Linked DNA regions of Danio rerio. The protein of the gene in region 2 purifies or fractionates together with the protein of the main gene of each other region. This does not show direct contact. Links are inferred from orthologs where the notes say so. Each region holds a gene or a part of one and is shown on either strand. Other genes may lie near its edges. The genes, in order: g3bp1, pabpc4, ddx6 and mkrn1.

The links.
Region 1: the proteins of pabpc4 (region 2) and g3bp1 purify together in Homo sapiens (affinity purification with mass spectrometry; 4 studies listed by BioGRID and IntAct, with this or other methods). This does not show direct contact. The link is inferred for Danio rerio from reciprocal best matches to the Homo sapiens genes PABPC4 and G3BP1.
Region 3: the proteins of pabpc4 (region 2) and ddx6 purify together in Homo sapiens (affinity purification with mass spectrometry; 3 studies listed by BioGRID and IntAct, with this or other methods). This does not show direct contact. The link is inferred for Danio rerio from reciprocal best matches to the Homo sapiens genes PABPC4 and DDX6.
Region 4: the proteins of pabpc4 (region 2) and mkrn1 purify together in Homo sapiens (affinity purification with mass spectrometry; 3 studies listed by BioGRID and IntAct, with this or other methods). This does not show direct contact. The link is inferred for Danio rerio from reciprocal best matches to the Homo sapiens genes PABPC4 and MKRN1.

Annotation. Positions count from the first base shown.
Region 1 is NC_133189.1:30,206,765-30,211,060, forward strand, and holds the start of g3bp1 (ras GTPase-activating protein-binding protein 1), read right to left. Parts: upstream 2,825-4,296; 5' UTR 2,709-2,824; intron 1,593-2,708; 5' UTR 1,571-1,592; coding exon 1,476-1,570; intron 1,392-1,475; coding exon 1,310-1,391; intron 399-1,309; coding exon 225-398; intron 1-224. UniProt on the Homo sapiens protein: Protein involved in various processes, such as stress granule formation and innate immunity. Plays an essential role in stress granule formation.
Region 2 is NC_133192.1:26,709,064-26,712,630, forward strand, and holds part of pabpc4 (polyadenylate-binding protein 4), read right to left. Parts: intron 1,686-3,567; coding exon 1,570-1,685; intron 382-1,569; coding exon 242-381; intron 170-241; coding exon 75-169; intron 1-74.
Region 3 is NC_133193.1:46,839,408-46,843,438, forward strand, and holds the start of ddx6 (probable ATP-dependent RNA helicase DDX6), read right to left. Parts: upstream 2,865-4,031; 5' UTR 2,824-2,864; intron 2,529-2,823; exon of another isoform or gene 2,441-2,528; intron 1-2,440.
Region 4 is NC_133179.1:12,864,252-12,868,505, reverse strand, and holds the start of mkrn1 (probable E3 ubiquitin-protein ligase makorin-1), read right to left. Parts: upstream 2,818-4,254; 5' UTR 2,805-2,817; coding exon 2,731-2,804; intron 1,987-2,730; coding exon 1,858-1,986; intron 1-1,857. UniProt on the Homo sapiens protein: E3 ubiquitin ligase catalyzing the covalent attachment of ubiquitin moieties onto substrate proteins. These substrates include FILIP1, p53/TP53, CDKN1A and TERT.

The DNA.
Region 1 (4,296 bases), on a different chromosome or scaffold from region 2:
AAATTGAGTTTGAGACCCCTGCTTTAAATATTACAATGATTCCTATTATGCCAGTTGGCATATTCACTTCCATTTTACTGATCCATGAACATCTGCCAATGCAGATAAGTACAATAAATCTATGATAGCATGAAAACTATTTTTCAAATACACAATAGTTTAATTCACCTCAGGACATGCTAGCAATTTTATCAGATAACACATTTATGAAGGAATGTTCGTACCTCAGGTGCCAAAACAAATGTCTGCATGAACTTCCTCATGGGCTGCATGTTATTGGACAACTCCCCCAAAACTTGAACCACCACTCCCTCGTTCAGGGTGGCATGAGCATCGACATGTCTGATCTTAGTGTGACAGTCACGGAAGCTTAGAGCCATCACCTTCTTATGGATTTCCTGTTCACATGAGAGAAGAATAAAAAATGATTTACAGCACCGAATTACATAAGAGCAGCTACCATATCTCACATTTTCACATAACATTTATTCAATATGTACTTTACATGAAGTGTAAAATAGAGAATTGCGAGATATAAAGGGTGTAAAAATCTTTAAATTAAACATTTTGCATCTTTAATTCAAAATGGAGAGGTTTATTGGTGAAGCAAACCCCAAAACTTTAAGTGCGTCAGTGATAAACAAATATGATTGGTTGTTGGATTAATAGTTTCAATTCCTGCAGATTCATCTAAACCATGTAAGAGTTAGATTCTGATTTAATTCACAAAATGGAAATATTTTTGTGCACATATGGATTATTTTTTATTAAAATTTGCTCTTGATTGAAACTTGATTTGGATTTTTTTTCTCCCTGGTGTCAAAGAGGAACTCCATGATGACCACTTTACATGGTAGAGCATGCACATTCAAGACCAAGGGTACACCCACAATCATGCTTCACTCAGGATGAGGAAGTCACTGCAGCACTGCACAGCATTTGCTAAAAAAATGGTTAAAAGGTGGTCTTATTGGTTTGTAAAGGGAAGTTGGGCTTATTCAGGCGTAGATGATTAAATCCTCTCTCATGCAAGCTTGTAAATGCTTAAACTGAACTCTCTGTTGTTTATAGACTGGCACAAAATAGCTTATGGAAATAAAGGTTTTTAAAGACTGTCTTCAAATTAATTATTTGAAAAATCTTTTAGAAGTAATGTGAAATGTATCTTAAAAAAAGCAAAAATGTGGGGGTTTTTTTTACCCAAGACGCACAAAACTTATTCCAGAAAACCTCTAAAACAATGTTAGGTTCGGTTATAATAGTCTAAAAGGGGCAACTTAATTCACAACAACTGTAATATAATACTCACAGACTGTCCATATACTGCTTCTGCTGGTTTTCCATTGTTGTCCAGTCCACCATGTACATATGAGGAGTTCTTGCCATAAAACCTTAAGACAACAGCAAAGTTTAGCTTTACTGCAATATAAACTACCAAAAAAAGGAATGTTATACGTTAACAAAGGGCAAGTCACCTGTGCAGGTAGTCAGGAGCCTGGTTCAGCAGGGTGTAATACTGTCGGACAAACTCTCGCCCGACAAGCTGGGCACTTGGCTTCTCCATCACCATTTCTTTGGTCAACTGGTTTCAACTAAAACAAAAATGACTTATTATAAAAAAAGCACCTCCACTGTTTCTTCACCCTTATGTGGTTCCAAAGACACATGGTTGCTTCTTGAGGACCACAAAAGGAACTGCCCTGCGACATCTCCTTATGCGTCCTTCAGAGGAAAGCTAACGTTATCTGGATTTGAAAATCCTGATAGAGGCAACTCCCATTCCTGACGGAACTCATTTGAATATCAACCGCTATAAACGATATTTGATGAAGGAAATCGGGACAGGCCGCTTGTTGAAACCGAAACAAATCCCTTTGTTAAGCTCATGAAGACGTAACGTTAGACGCAATGAGGACGTTTAACAACAGCGTCTATACATTTCCGTCGCGCCCTAAAAGAACAGCAGTTCAATTAGATGTTTTAACTCCTAGTGAAGGGTGGGAAATTATTCCTATTGGAAAACTGTTTCAATCTGATGAATTCATTGTAAGGTTGAGCCAAGTAGGCCTGGACAACAGCGACGCGTTGCCATCTTGAGCCCCGTACCTAAGAGATAATCAATATTTCTTTCGTTTTCGAAAGGTTAACGAAAACTACTTGATCAAGGTCACAATTTAATCCACGTCCTAGAATTCTTCATTCGCCATTCATGAATCAGGCACGTGCCCAGTAACGTTACCGCGCTGACTTCAATTAATGTTACACGATCGTAATATATATCGAATGACAACACAATACGCAGAAATTTTGTTAAACTGATCTTAAACATCAGAAGAAGCGTAACACACCCTAACGACACCGTGAACGTGTGCTCCCTCTTTGTCGGAAATGTCGGCTGGTGGTCAAGCAAATGCAGCTAAAGCTAATCCTCACAGCGTCGACTAACAAAAAGACCCAGCCAGCGACCTAAGGCGGATTTGACCTTTTAATCGTCTGAAATAATCATAGCATTCATAATATGAAATATTTTTTATACAAAAACTACCGGAACTATACCTCTATATTAGATTAATCACATACTTTAAGCACATGGCTATTAGCTGCGCAGGAGCTAACAGAAAGCAGTACGCAACGCACAAGAACAAAAAAGATGTAGTGAAAAATAAACTGTAGAACATATTTAACTTAAAAAGCTAAAGTGAACTTACCGAAAGGGAATCAGTAATGTGTTTTTGGGAAGAGTTTGACGTGATTTAGGTGAAGCACCTCCTGCGCCGGTAGCTGTGAAGCTTTTAGCTGAGACACTGGCAGCAGCGCGTGTGGCGAATTGCCGGTTTCACAGCAGCGCCTACTAAACTCAACGGCCCACATGATCGCAGAACCCAGCAGCCAATCAGAACACCGCATTGGAACCCCCCATCCTATCATAATTCGTTCTGCCGTAAACCCCCTAAAATTACCCAACTGAAAACGTGGGTGAAAGAAATGATCATAGCAAGTTTGTCTGTCCCGCACGTACGTGAACTATGTGGTGAGCCATTGCGCAGCTGCCGATGCTGACCGTGTTGTTACTGTGCGCATTTTTGTTTGCGAAACTATGAGTTACTTGGTGATTTCCGTGCACATTAGAAACTGTACACTACAAACATTCAACTGCCAATGTAAGTCATTTGAGAAAGCGCCAAAGAGTAAAGAAAAGAAAGAGTAGATGATTAAGAAAATGTCAACAAGTCTTCATCTAAAGCAAGACAAGACATTTTGTACTGTGTTGTACTCATTTATGTAATTAGATAATTAATGACAGGGCTTTTGATTTAATTAAAATTATTATTGAAAGTTATTTCTACAGTTATATAGACATAATATAGCAATATTCATATATAGCAACATAACAATTTTTTCAGCCTCAGTAATGACCTAATGTTATTTACCGAAAGGTTTGAACAAGCAAGTAAAGAGTCATCGAGTAGTAAAAGATGGAAGAGACAGATTTTTTTATTTTTGGGTCAACTATCACATTAATGTCTTAAATATATATATATATATATATATTTATGTATATATATATATATATATATTTATGACATATATATATATATATATGTCAAGCCCATAGTCAGCATGATGAAATGGGGTGGTTCTTTTTCTCAAAAGTGGAGCTTTAACTTTCCTCATTCAAAATTTGGCCACTTGAATAATAAAAAATTAAAACAGAATAATAATAATATAGAGCTTCATAATTTTAGATTTTATTTGAAAATTCATGGATAACAAAAATAGCCAATTTAGCTTTCAAATTAATTTTAATATGGGCCTTTCGCGGTGCTTCAAGCCTTTTTATAGGTTTATTATATCAAAAATAAGGTTTAAGATTTAGAATAAAAGTTAATTGTAAATGTTTTCTCTATTTAACGACAATACAGTAGGTCAGTAGTGAATTTTCACAGTATGTCTGATAATATTTTTTCTTCTGGAGAAAGTCTTATTTGTTTTATTTCGGCTAGAATAAAAGCAGTTTTTAATTTTTTTAAAAAAGATTTTGAGGTCAAAATTATTAGCCCCTTTAAGCTAAACATTTTTCGACTGTCTACAGAACAAACCATCATTATACAATAACTTACCTAATTACCCTAACCTGCCTAGTTAACCTAAATAACCTAGTTAAGCCTTTAAATGTCACTTTAAGCTGTATAGAAGCGTCTTGAAAAGTATCTAGTCAAAAATTATGTACTGTTATCATGACAAAGATAAAATAAATCAGTTATTAGAAATGAGTTATTAAAACTATGATGTTTA
Region 2 (3,567 bases):
ACCTGTAAATTACCAAATATTTTTAATTAATAGATATCTTTTGCACAGTTGCTAAAGCATCAATTTTGCTGTACCTTGTTAGCATCTTCATGCTTCTCGTAGCTAACAAAACCAAATCCCCGAGATTTCCCTGTGGGGTCAGTCATGACCTTCACGCTCAGTGTTTTACCTGCAGGTAGACACCAAATTTTCAGAAAAAAGGCCCAACCACTGGGAAAACATTTATTATTTATACTCTTACCATATTTATCAAAGAGCTCCTTCAGTCTCTGATCATCCATGTCATCGCCAAAGTTCTTGATGTAAACATTAGTGAACTCTTTGGCTTTGGCACCCATTTCTGCCTCTCTCTCCTTCCTGGACTTGAAACGGCCCACAAACCTACAAAAAAAGTGCAGACATAAATGTGACTCATGCAGAAATGCAATACAGACTCAGTGGAGTGACAGCTGCAGAACAACTGTTGACTCATACCAGCTGCAGCAGAGACAAGTGTGACTTACAAACACTAAAATGTTGGAAAACTAACTGTTGATGTACATGCATTGACAGTCGGTGAGGTACAAATTAAATCTGAGCTCAATTGGTTTCATATTATATATATTATAAATCACTATTTAAACTCATTATAACTTATGTTTATTGATTTGTTTTAGGGGCATCAAGGTGGCGCAGTGGGTAGCACAATCGCCTCATAGCAAGAAAGTCGCTGGTTCGAGCCTCAGCTGGGTCAGGTGGCATTTCTGTGTGGAGTTTGCATGTTCTCCCGGTGTTTGTGTTGGTTTCCTCCGGGTGCTCTGGTTTCCCCCACAGTCCAAAGAGATGCAGTACAGGTGAATTTAAGAAGCTAAATTTGCCATAGTGTATTAGTGTGAATGCAAAAGTGTATGGGTGTTTCCTAGTGTTGGGTTGCGGCTGCAAGTGCATCCGCTGCGTAAAACATGTGCTGGATAAGATGGTGATGGTTCCCCAGATTAGTAAAGGTAATGAGCTGAAAAGAAAATTGAATGAATGAAAGATTTGTTTTACAATAATACACATATAATACAAATATATCGGAAACAGATAACATCTTCAAAAAGTAAATAAACCAAGAAACTTAGATTGTATATAAGACATGAGTACCCCTAGAAAAAGGCCTACAATATTGTTGATTTTCCAGACAGTAATGCAATTACAACATTCCATTAAAAATAATAGGCAGTAGGGACTAGGTTTCAAATAACCCAAACATAAGTCCAAAATTTGAAAAAAGTGGCCTGTTGTTGTCTAATACATGGCAATACAAGGTGTTCCAGGGGATTTAACTCAAAAATGATCTTGTGCCAGCCTTAAGTGATGGAGATTTGTCACTAATCCAATTAAATTGGCTTTTAATTGTATGTACATTTTTTATTTCATTGTTTAATGATTTTTAAAAGTCAGAATATATTTGAAAGTTCAGTAAATGATTCTGATCCTTTAACTTTAATTGATCACCCAAAATGTCTCTCTTGAGCATCGCTGTCGCTCATCAAACCAGCACTCCTCCTTCCTTTCATATGACTAAGGTTATGCTCAGACACTCACACCTTGCGGTCGTTCAGCAACATTCCATTCATCTTCTCAATGGCACGATCGGCTGCGTCCTGAGTTTCAAAATGCACAAAGGCATAGCCTTTCGATCCGTTCTCGTCGCACACCACCTAATAATCAGACACAAGATGAGACTACTTCAGCAATCAGATTACGAGTTTTTCTTATACAGCTTTTCTAGCCCAGCTTCTCTGTGATGTGTGTTAATAAACTCTCAATAAATGACTAAATAAAAGAAAAATAAAAGCACACTGATTTTAAAGGTTCCGAATGTAAGTTTGACACCCAGTGGTTGAACTAGGTATCGCACTCCTGGATCAAAACAAACGCAAGCGCAGGTTGCCAGATTGAGGTCAGGATCGAGTGATTTAAACCGTGTTCTAAATAAAAGCAACAGCACCAGATAGGAGGAATATTTTACATATTAAAAGGATTTTTTGTCAAAACCAACACCTCGAATTGATATATTAGAAACGGCTTTTATTTCTCCCAGGTGAACAACAGAAACTGACCATGATCACCTCAGGTACACCTCATGTGCTTTATTCAGTGTTAAATGCTAACAATGTGAGTTTGAATGCCATTTCACCTGACATTTATTGCCATATACTGAAAGCAGCAGATCTTGAAAATAAAATAAACAGTTTGAAGTTGAAATTTAGATCTAAACGCATATCTGTGATTTAATAATGTTAAAGAAGTTTTTATTGTGTATTTGTTAGATTATAAACCTTACCATTTCGTGAGTGAGTGCATATTCTTTGCTTCTGAATGGCTGTATTTAAATCGCTGTCGCGTTTAGTCTGGTGCAAACAGCCAAATTGCTCACTATTGTGTATCTCGTCATGAAGCGTGTTGTTAGGACAAGCGGTTACAATATAACCTGCTCACCTAATGTTTACTCTCATAATATTTACATCATTTGCTAATTAATAACCACCTAATGTGGAACAGAATCTGTGTCTCATATCGGAGTCTTCTACTGTCCACTGGAGGTCGCATTTTGGTCATGGACGCATACTTTTAGAGCCTCTCTGAATGGATGGATGAATGAATGAATGAATGAATGAATGAATGAATGAAATATGCAATGTTCCACCAAAGCAACCCAGGGTGCTGAAATATAAATGGCTAAACTGGCATTGGGCAGGTTAAAATTTACCAAAACAAAGATAGCGTTCCTGCACAGAAAACACATTTTCAAAGCAGAATAACGTCAGCATTGTTTTTCAGATAAACAGGAATGTTCACTTATCAGCTTTCAAATTTCATAACATATTATGGTATTATGGTTAATAAACGAGAATACATTCTATAATTTCAGGAATTTCAATAAGTTTTTAAAAATCTGTTCATGTAGGAAGAAAAAGAAGTATGAGTGCATGCTTTAATTACATTTAAAAATTAACTATGTTAGTAATATTGGTCACATTTTATAATAAGGTTTCATTAGTTGATGTATTTACTAACTTATTATTAAAATCCAAAGTCATGCTAAAAAATATTAGTTGATGCACCTTGAGTAAACATAAATTAATAATGAACTGCTTTTGAACTTTCTAACTAAGATTAACAAACATGAACATATAATAAATGTATTCATTGTTTGTTCATGTTAGTAAATGCATTAACTAACATGAACTAATGCAACCTTATTGTGAAGTTTTAACGTAATATTATAGAAATTAATTTATAGTCATCCAGCAGCCCATTTGAAAGTTTGTTGTGGTCTTCTAACTGAGGAGCATTGATCCACCCGAACACAGAGAACAAAAACTATAACTATAATAATATAGCCATTGTTTTAAAACTCATTCTCAACAAAAATGTTGTCATCACTTTCAGAATAACATGCATAATGAACATTGACTGGTGTTTTAAAGATGCATATGTTATCATTATAATCATCTGTTGATGTAGGTGTAAATAACTGACATTGACTAGTCATGCAATTACTGTGGTTTGCCTTTGGAGGTCAGCACAGTGCATGTA
Region 3 (4,031 bases), on a different chromosome or scaffold from region 2:
AAATGTGGAGTTTATGTTTCCAATACTGCGTGCGTTATCAAATTCCAATAAAACGACCCTCTTACAGCATTAAATACTCATCCAATATTTCATTTGTCAGGGGAGGCATGCATGAAATGTTCCTGAGTGAAAGTGCCAAACTGCAGTTAAAGTCGACAAATTTAAAACACCGGAAATTACATGATATCCCAGAGGAAATGTGAATAGCGTGGCGATTCTATGAAGTTAATTGAATTGTGCTACAACATGTAAAACAGGATCATGAAAAGAACATACAAATTGCAACTTATGCGAACACCTTAATCATATTACTGTCTTATTCAGATTAAGGCAAATAATTTAATTACTAATGTAAACTTAGTCATTGAGTGCTTAGATCAAGCAATGTCGACGAGGCATGGGACGATAAGTTTAAGGTATACCACGGTTTGGAAAAGCCAAGGTTTTAAAACCGCAAAAGTTTCCTACTATACCATTCCTAAGGTATGTCCAAGTTTTGTTTTTTGTTGTTGTTGGTTTTTTAGGACAACAGTATTTCCAGCAGAAAGGAATCAAAAAAAAAATCCAAAGATGCTGTTTTAAATTGTAAGGAAATCTGTGTTTTTTTAAACAAATGAAGACAGCATTAGTCAAAGGCTGTGTCCGAACCGCCTACTACTCAGTAGGTACTGCTTTTGAATTTAAATGTACTACTCGGCAGTTACAAACGTACGTTCTATACAGTATGAATGTGAAAAGTATGGACAGAATTCGGACGTACTATATCCACCATTTTGTCATGGTCACGTGACCTACCTGCATCAGTTGCGTTGCTTAACTTCCATTTATGAATTCTCTCACGTGGCATTATGGGACAGCGCAGCGTGCATAGGATGCGCACTCCGGAATCTCACCGGAAGTAGCAAGTCATCCGGGTACTTCTCGCAAACTGATTTTCGAACTCTATGAATTTGGACATACTACTCGACTCGCATACTGATTTTAGCATACCATATAGTATGGAAGTATACGGTTTCGGACGCAGCCAATGATTCATTTGAATTATTTAGCCTAACATGTTTACCATTACAAAATATATCAAATGTTTCTCTAAATAAAATAAATTGTGTTGAAAGGGGAGAAAAAAAAAGTTAGTTTTTTTACCCAGACATTTAATTAGAATATATTTTAAAAGGAGTAATCACAATATCGTAAAACAGAGATATTTTTATCCGAGGTTATCATACCATCAGAATCTTATACCAGCCCATGCCTAATGTCGACCAAGCAAGACATCGTATGAGGTCTAATGTGAAACTTTGTGATGCAAGATGAGATCAGGGTTAAGGTTGGGTTTGATAAAAGGTTCCATCATTTTAATTTTCTTTTAACAAAAAGTGTGCTAATTGCTCTGTGCATCTTTACCACAAACTAGCACTAACACTTATACTTCTACAATTACCTGCAATATTACAGCATCAAAAGAGTTAACACACACTCATGCAGAAATTACAGGGACAAGCTCTGGTAGAAGTGTCAAGATAAAAAAGTCTCTTGAATTTGTAACCAATTACAACTTTAATTCATTTTCAGATCTATGAACAGACCATAAACGTTATTAAATGTCTAATGTGAGTTCAATAATGATGGCAGCAGCAGCTGGCACAATGTCAACACGATAGGCCTCATTGTAAAACAGCCTCGCGTTTACCTAAAGCATTTAAAAATGACAAACTTTAATAAATGTGACTTCAGTGTTGTTATGCATCTATAAAAACAGGTGAAGTTGCACGTTGACTACACAGCTGTGGAGCTTAAAATTAGACATAACAAATGTTTGGTTACCTTAAGTTAAGCGAAAGCGTATAGTTCATTGAACTCATTCCACGAATACTAAAAAACAATGTTATGTTATACGATATAACCAGTGTCACGTTGTAGTTATTAAGCTAAAATGTACATCTTAAAGGTTAACCGTATTGATTCCACATAACGTGAAACTCGGCGTCACGCAACAAACGTTAATGCTAATGTTTAGCTACGCAGCTACCGCTGACGGCTTCAAGCCAGACAGATTTTAATAGTCGGATACATTTTAAATCTTTAGCAAACACGGTTATCATAATACGATGGAATGTGGCTTTTATTATAAGCAAATCTAAATATATAAGCTGTTAGGAAGGAAATATTAGCAGTGCTCAAGCTCGTTAGCTTTTGGCTTGCACACAGGCCGCACGCGTAACCTCAGATTCACAATCACCAGTATAAAGAACTAAACGCTCGTTTCATAAACGCTAAAACAGAAGCAAGAACATATTTAACTCTTAACTAAATCAGCTAACACAAACACTGCGAGCCAAAAAGACATCACAAATTTGTAAACACCAAGACACAAAGAAACCCACAAAACCGACTTAATCCCCAGAACACAACACGTAGATTTGACGTTCTGCAAACTTACCAAACGTGGCAGAGAATATCTTTCAGTGTGTTTGTGTTTGTGAATTATAGGTGTAGAGTTGTGACATATTTCGGGGTGTAAAGCGAGTGTGTAAGATGGCTTCCAGTCATCTTTAAACCCTCCCATAATCAGTCACATGAGACAGAGCCCTGTCTAATCCACACAAACGCAACGCATATGACGATTGTTTAGAAAACGCAATTTAATGCTGCCGTCATTTCAAATGCGTTGTTAAATATATATATATTAAGAATACGTTAATTAAGCTCTTAGAATTTCGTTTTATTTATGTTTTATTTATTTGTAAGCGGTTGAGGTCGTCACAATTACACATTTTGCTTTAAAAACGTCCTAATTACATAGCAGCGCAGTTTAATTCCTACCTGAGCTTGTTGTAGTCTTGGCTGAAGCACGGCATGTGAAGGGTGTCATTTAATTAGCTCAACGTGTTTATACTTGACTAATTGGTGTAAGGATCCATGTGGTTTAGACATACTGTTTTTTTATTTGGGTATTTAAAAACATATTTTATCTTTAATAATAATGCTTATTTTATTATTGTTGAAGAGGCTTGAAGTGCACAAAGTAGGAATCTGTTGATAGGCACGCCTGAGGTGTTTGGAGGTAGTTAATGAATTGCCTTGAGTAGTTTAATGACTAATTAGACTGACTTATGTGGCTAGAAAGTAGTTTTTTAACGTAACGTAACATTTTTGTGCATTAGTATGTCTGTTATTTATTTATTTTTCGTTGCGAAAAAACATAAATTTTGAGCACGATGACGAACGTGTCCTTAAGTTTGACATAATATACATTAAACCTAATAATTCATCAATTTTCTCTCAGCTTAGTCCATTTATTCATGAGAGGTTGCCACAGCGGAATGAACCGCCAACTTATCCAGCATATGTTTTTTTTTTTTTTTTTACAGCAGATGCCCAGCTTCAACCCAGTACTGGGAAACATCCATACACACTCATACACTGCAGCCAATTAAGTTTATACAATTCACCTAAATGCAGTTACATCCAAATATATTTAGATGTGTTGTTGGACAGGAAACGTAAGTGGACTGAGTCTATAAGGAAAAGGCAACAGAGAATGTACTTCTTAAAGAAACGATTGTCTTTTATTGTTGACAACACATCGTTGATCATATTTTCTAGTGTTTTTATTGAAATTATTGCAACATTTTGTGTGATCTATTGGTATGGAAATGCTTCTGAGGCCCAGAAGAGGTCACTGGGAAAGGTGGTAACAACAGCCAGTAAGTTCTTGGGTATAAAACAAAAGGGCATTAATAGTATATACAAAGAAAGTGTATTAAATAAGGCTATCATGATTGTCTATGATGAGAGACATCCTTTATCAAACACCTTTCAATTGTTACTATCAGTTTGTCGATATTGTGTTTACAGATGTGTGAGAAATAGGACAAAATGATCATTTATAGGGAGCGCGAGGCACAAAGTAATGCAGGGTAACGTAACATGGAGTTGTAAGGTATTTGCTCAGGGTTATTTATGAGGTGCCGTGTAGGATTTAAATCAAACTTTGCTTATCAACACATACATAAAACACGTGTATATAC
Region 4 (4,254 bases), on a different chromosome or scaffold from region 2:
TTTATGGTATATATTATATTTATGGTATATATATTTATTTATTTAAATGTTAATTGTTATACATTTTCAGTCCAAATACTTGCTAACATGCTAACAAATTGTATGCTTTTATTTTCAGAAATCATGTCAAATTTTTACATCACTCGCCATAATATTTACATAATATATGCATGCACTGTGCATATTTATTATGTATATATAAATACACACATCATGCATGTATATATTTGAGGCGTGTCATTTTTAGATGGTCCAATCAGGGCAAAATAAATGACAATGTTCATGCAAAACAAATATATAATTAGAAATGCTGTCTGGTGTAATACATATTTGTCTTAAATATTAAATATGGCATATCATGCAATCAGGATGATAATAATAATAATAATAATAATAATAATTCTTCCTGCTTTGGGTGTGTGTATTCATATATATATATATATATATATATATATATATATATATATATATATATATATATATATATATATATATATATATATATATATATATATATATATATATATATATAAAATTCTTCCCCCTGATTTATTCACTTTTGCATTTTATATAAGTGTGTATACACATTAGACAGACACATATTGTGTAAATGCAAACTTTTATTTTGAATGCGATTAATCACCATTAATCATTCCACAAAGTCTAGTTACAAAAATCAGATATTTATGCTGAAGACCCTGAATCCATAGGAAACAGACCTTAGGAGGAGAGTAAGAGGGAGCTCTCAGTCAGATGTAATGCTGTCATAGAGCAGCCAACGCCAAACAAAGACATTCCCATAGTGCCGAGCTGGGGGCAGCAGTTACTATGGGGATACACTTGACCGCAGACAGATATGAGACAAACATTGTCTGAACTGTCTGGCTCACAGGCTAATTTTTACACCGCTTCAAGCACCTGTGCACTTGACTGCATTGGCCAAAGGTGGTTGGCTTGTTGGCTAGTTTGTTTCGAGTGCACTTGTTGGCGTTTACGTAGATTTAGACAGCAAGTACACTTGAAAATATTTACGTTTTTTTTTTTTTTTTTTTATGTTTTTTTTTTTTTTAAACACAAATGAGGAAATTTGGAAGAATTAGGGTAAAACAATACTAAGGAGTTAAATGCGGTTTCCAACATTCTTCAAAATACCTTATTTATAAAAAATAATCAAAATAAAATATAAAACGCAAACAAGTTTGATGCAAGTAAATTTTTAAGTAATTTTCATGTTTGACTCAAAATAAAGAAACAAAAAAAGGTCTGCAAATTGTTCATTTGCATTTATGTGGTCTATAGATATAGATACCCGAACATGCAAATGATGCATTTGGAGGCCACTTCTATATTAGTGCATTTTATTTCTATGCATATAACATTAATCTAACAGAAATGCATTGGACAATTACTCATTTTCATTTATTTTAAAGAGATATGCTAAGAAATGTATTCTTTTATGCCATATTTTATTTTTAAAATGTTAAACTCTTCAAACGTAAATGGGGTGAGGGTTAAAAACCTGTTTTCGACAAAAACCCCTACAGATTTAGGAAGAACTAAATAATGACTTGGATAAACTGCCTCTTTAAGAAAGCGACTAACCCAACAACTTGTTTACAAAAAAATTCCGCGTCTCAGATGTCGCAGGCATGTAATGAAGCAACACACAACGCTTCTCAGAAGCCCTGCTTACCGCTACTGCATTTAAACCCGCTCACGTGTTACGCTCTCCAGCACAGAAATACAGATTACATTACCTTTGATGTTATGCAAGATCTGTTCAGATCTGGTCATGAGCGCCAGCGGATGTTTTGGTGCACATTATAATGCAACACATTACATCATTGTGTCTCATACCTGCAACGGTCCCCGAAAGCACAGCATCCCTTTTGGAAGAACTTGCAGATCATGGTTTGCTTGCAGCTGCTGAGGTCGTGTGAATATCGACAGTTCTCACCCTCTTTGCAAAGCCCGTGCATGAAATACCTAGAAATGAAGGATGGCTTTGAGACTGGCCTTGATTGGTGCCACTGAAATATAATCTAGCTATCCGAAGGTTAATAAACAAGATTTTCATAACAAAATATTATTAAGATCCAGGTCATATTAATATAAAAACGACTTTAGAAGGACATGACTATAATATGCATTACACTGACCACATATTTTATATGGATAGACTTAATTAGTTCTTCATATGTGCGTTTATTTGACAATAGTGCTAATGTAAACATTGCATATTACTTGTGCTTTAAGTCGTGTTATACCTTTGACTGTGTGGCTAAATAAAAACGTACATTTTGTAAAGTCATGACTAGACTTGGATAAAGCCTGATAAATTAATTCATAAGCATAAATCATCAAGGCTGACACTGACACATTGGCTGAATCCCAGAATAGTAAACTCAAGGTTTTATTTTATGGCTTCCTAGCTGTCAAACTGGCTGCATTATGAGGAAGATGCGCTGTCGTGTTGTTTTGAACAAACTCGGATGTCGCAGAGATACACTAACAGAGGAAGAAAGAAACGCAAAAAAACAGCCGCTGTCGGACTGATCTGTGCGTTACAATAACAAACACACACTCTCACACACACACTCATCCAGTTCAGCACAAAGACAGCGGCGATAACCGAAGCCTCGTCATCGACGCACAGACAGCCGTTTGTGTTTTATATTAGTGACCGTTTCGTTTTATTATAAGCGCGTTTATCGGCGGATTTCCACTAACCTGCAGGTTACGTGCTTCGTCCAGCCTCCGATAACTGCTGGAGCCGCTGTTGACGCTGCCGCTGCCTCCGCCATTGCTGTTTATGTTGAAGCCTTAGCACCCGGATCTTCCGGAAAGCGGCCGTTCTGCGCTCGGCCATTTTCGGAAAACCGAAGCCGCATTACGTGATCGAATGTTTTCGGTGAACAAAAAAAGCCGCAGAGGGGTCGGGTGTTTTCGGGAAACCGAAGATAAACCAAGACCCAAGAGAAAAACAATTTCATCTAACTCCATTCCGTTGTAAACTTTCACAAACCGACTGAAAAATGTCAGATATTGAATCAATTATAGAGCCATAAAAAACACAATGTATAAAATATTCAATAATTAACAAATCATCCAGACATTAAACAGAAACTTTGTTAGGGGTTAGATAAAACCATATTTTTTAAAACAAATCATACAATTGTTTTTTGCATTCTCACCCTTCATTATTTTTAAAGCCTCTGCATAGGTGGCAAACTCCTTTTTAAAGACGATCAAACAAGGAGCTCATTCATTTTCTTTTCGGCTTAGTCCCTTTAATAATCTGGTGTCACCACAGTGGAATGAACCACCAACTCATCGAGCACGTTTTTACGCTGCGGATGCCTTTCCAGCCTCAACCCATCACTGGGAAACATCCATACTCTCTTATTCACATACATACACTACGGACAATTTAGCTTACCCAATTCACACACATGTCTTTGGACTTGTGGGGGAAACAGGGGAACCGGGGGGAAACCCACATGAACACAGGAAGAACATGCAAACTCCACATAGAAATACCCTAGCCGAGGCTCTAACCAGCACAATTACATTCATTCATTTATTTTCTTTTTGGCTTGGTCCCTTTATTAATCAGAGATTGTAATGACCTGCCAACTTATCCAACATATGCTTTATGCAGCAGATGCCCTTCCATCTGCAACCCATCACTGGCAAACACCCATACACTCATTCACACACATACACTAAGGACAATTTAGCCTACCCAATTCATATAGCGCGTGTCTTTGGACTTTGGAGCAGACCCACATGAACAGGTGGAGAACATGCAAAGTCCACACAGAAATGCCAACTGACCCAGCCGAGCCAGTACTAACCACTGAGCCACCGTGTTGCCCAATAATAATAATAACAATAATAATTAATATTAGTTATTTCTGAAGGATCATGTGACTCTGAAGACTGGAATAATGATTAATGATGCTGAAAAATCTTCATTAAAATTAGTTATATTAAAAATCCTAAACGTTTGACCGGTAGTGTGTATAAAATTAGCAATAATAATATTGACTTCAACTGTACATTCTCAAAAAAAAAAAACAAGTTTAATCTAAGCTAATAAGTGAAATCACCCTGCTATCATCTATTGCTGAGGTAACTACTGACTGATTTCTCAATGGCTCTGAAATACATGCAGAATTAGACATCTTGTTTGTCTTTGTTTCATGTCAATCAAACTACCTTGCCTGTCACCACTCGTGGTTTAAACTTTTT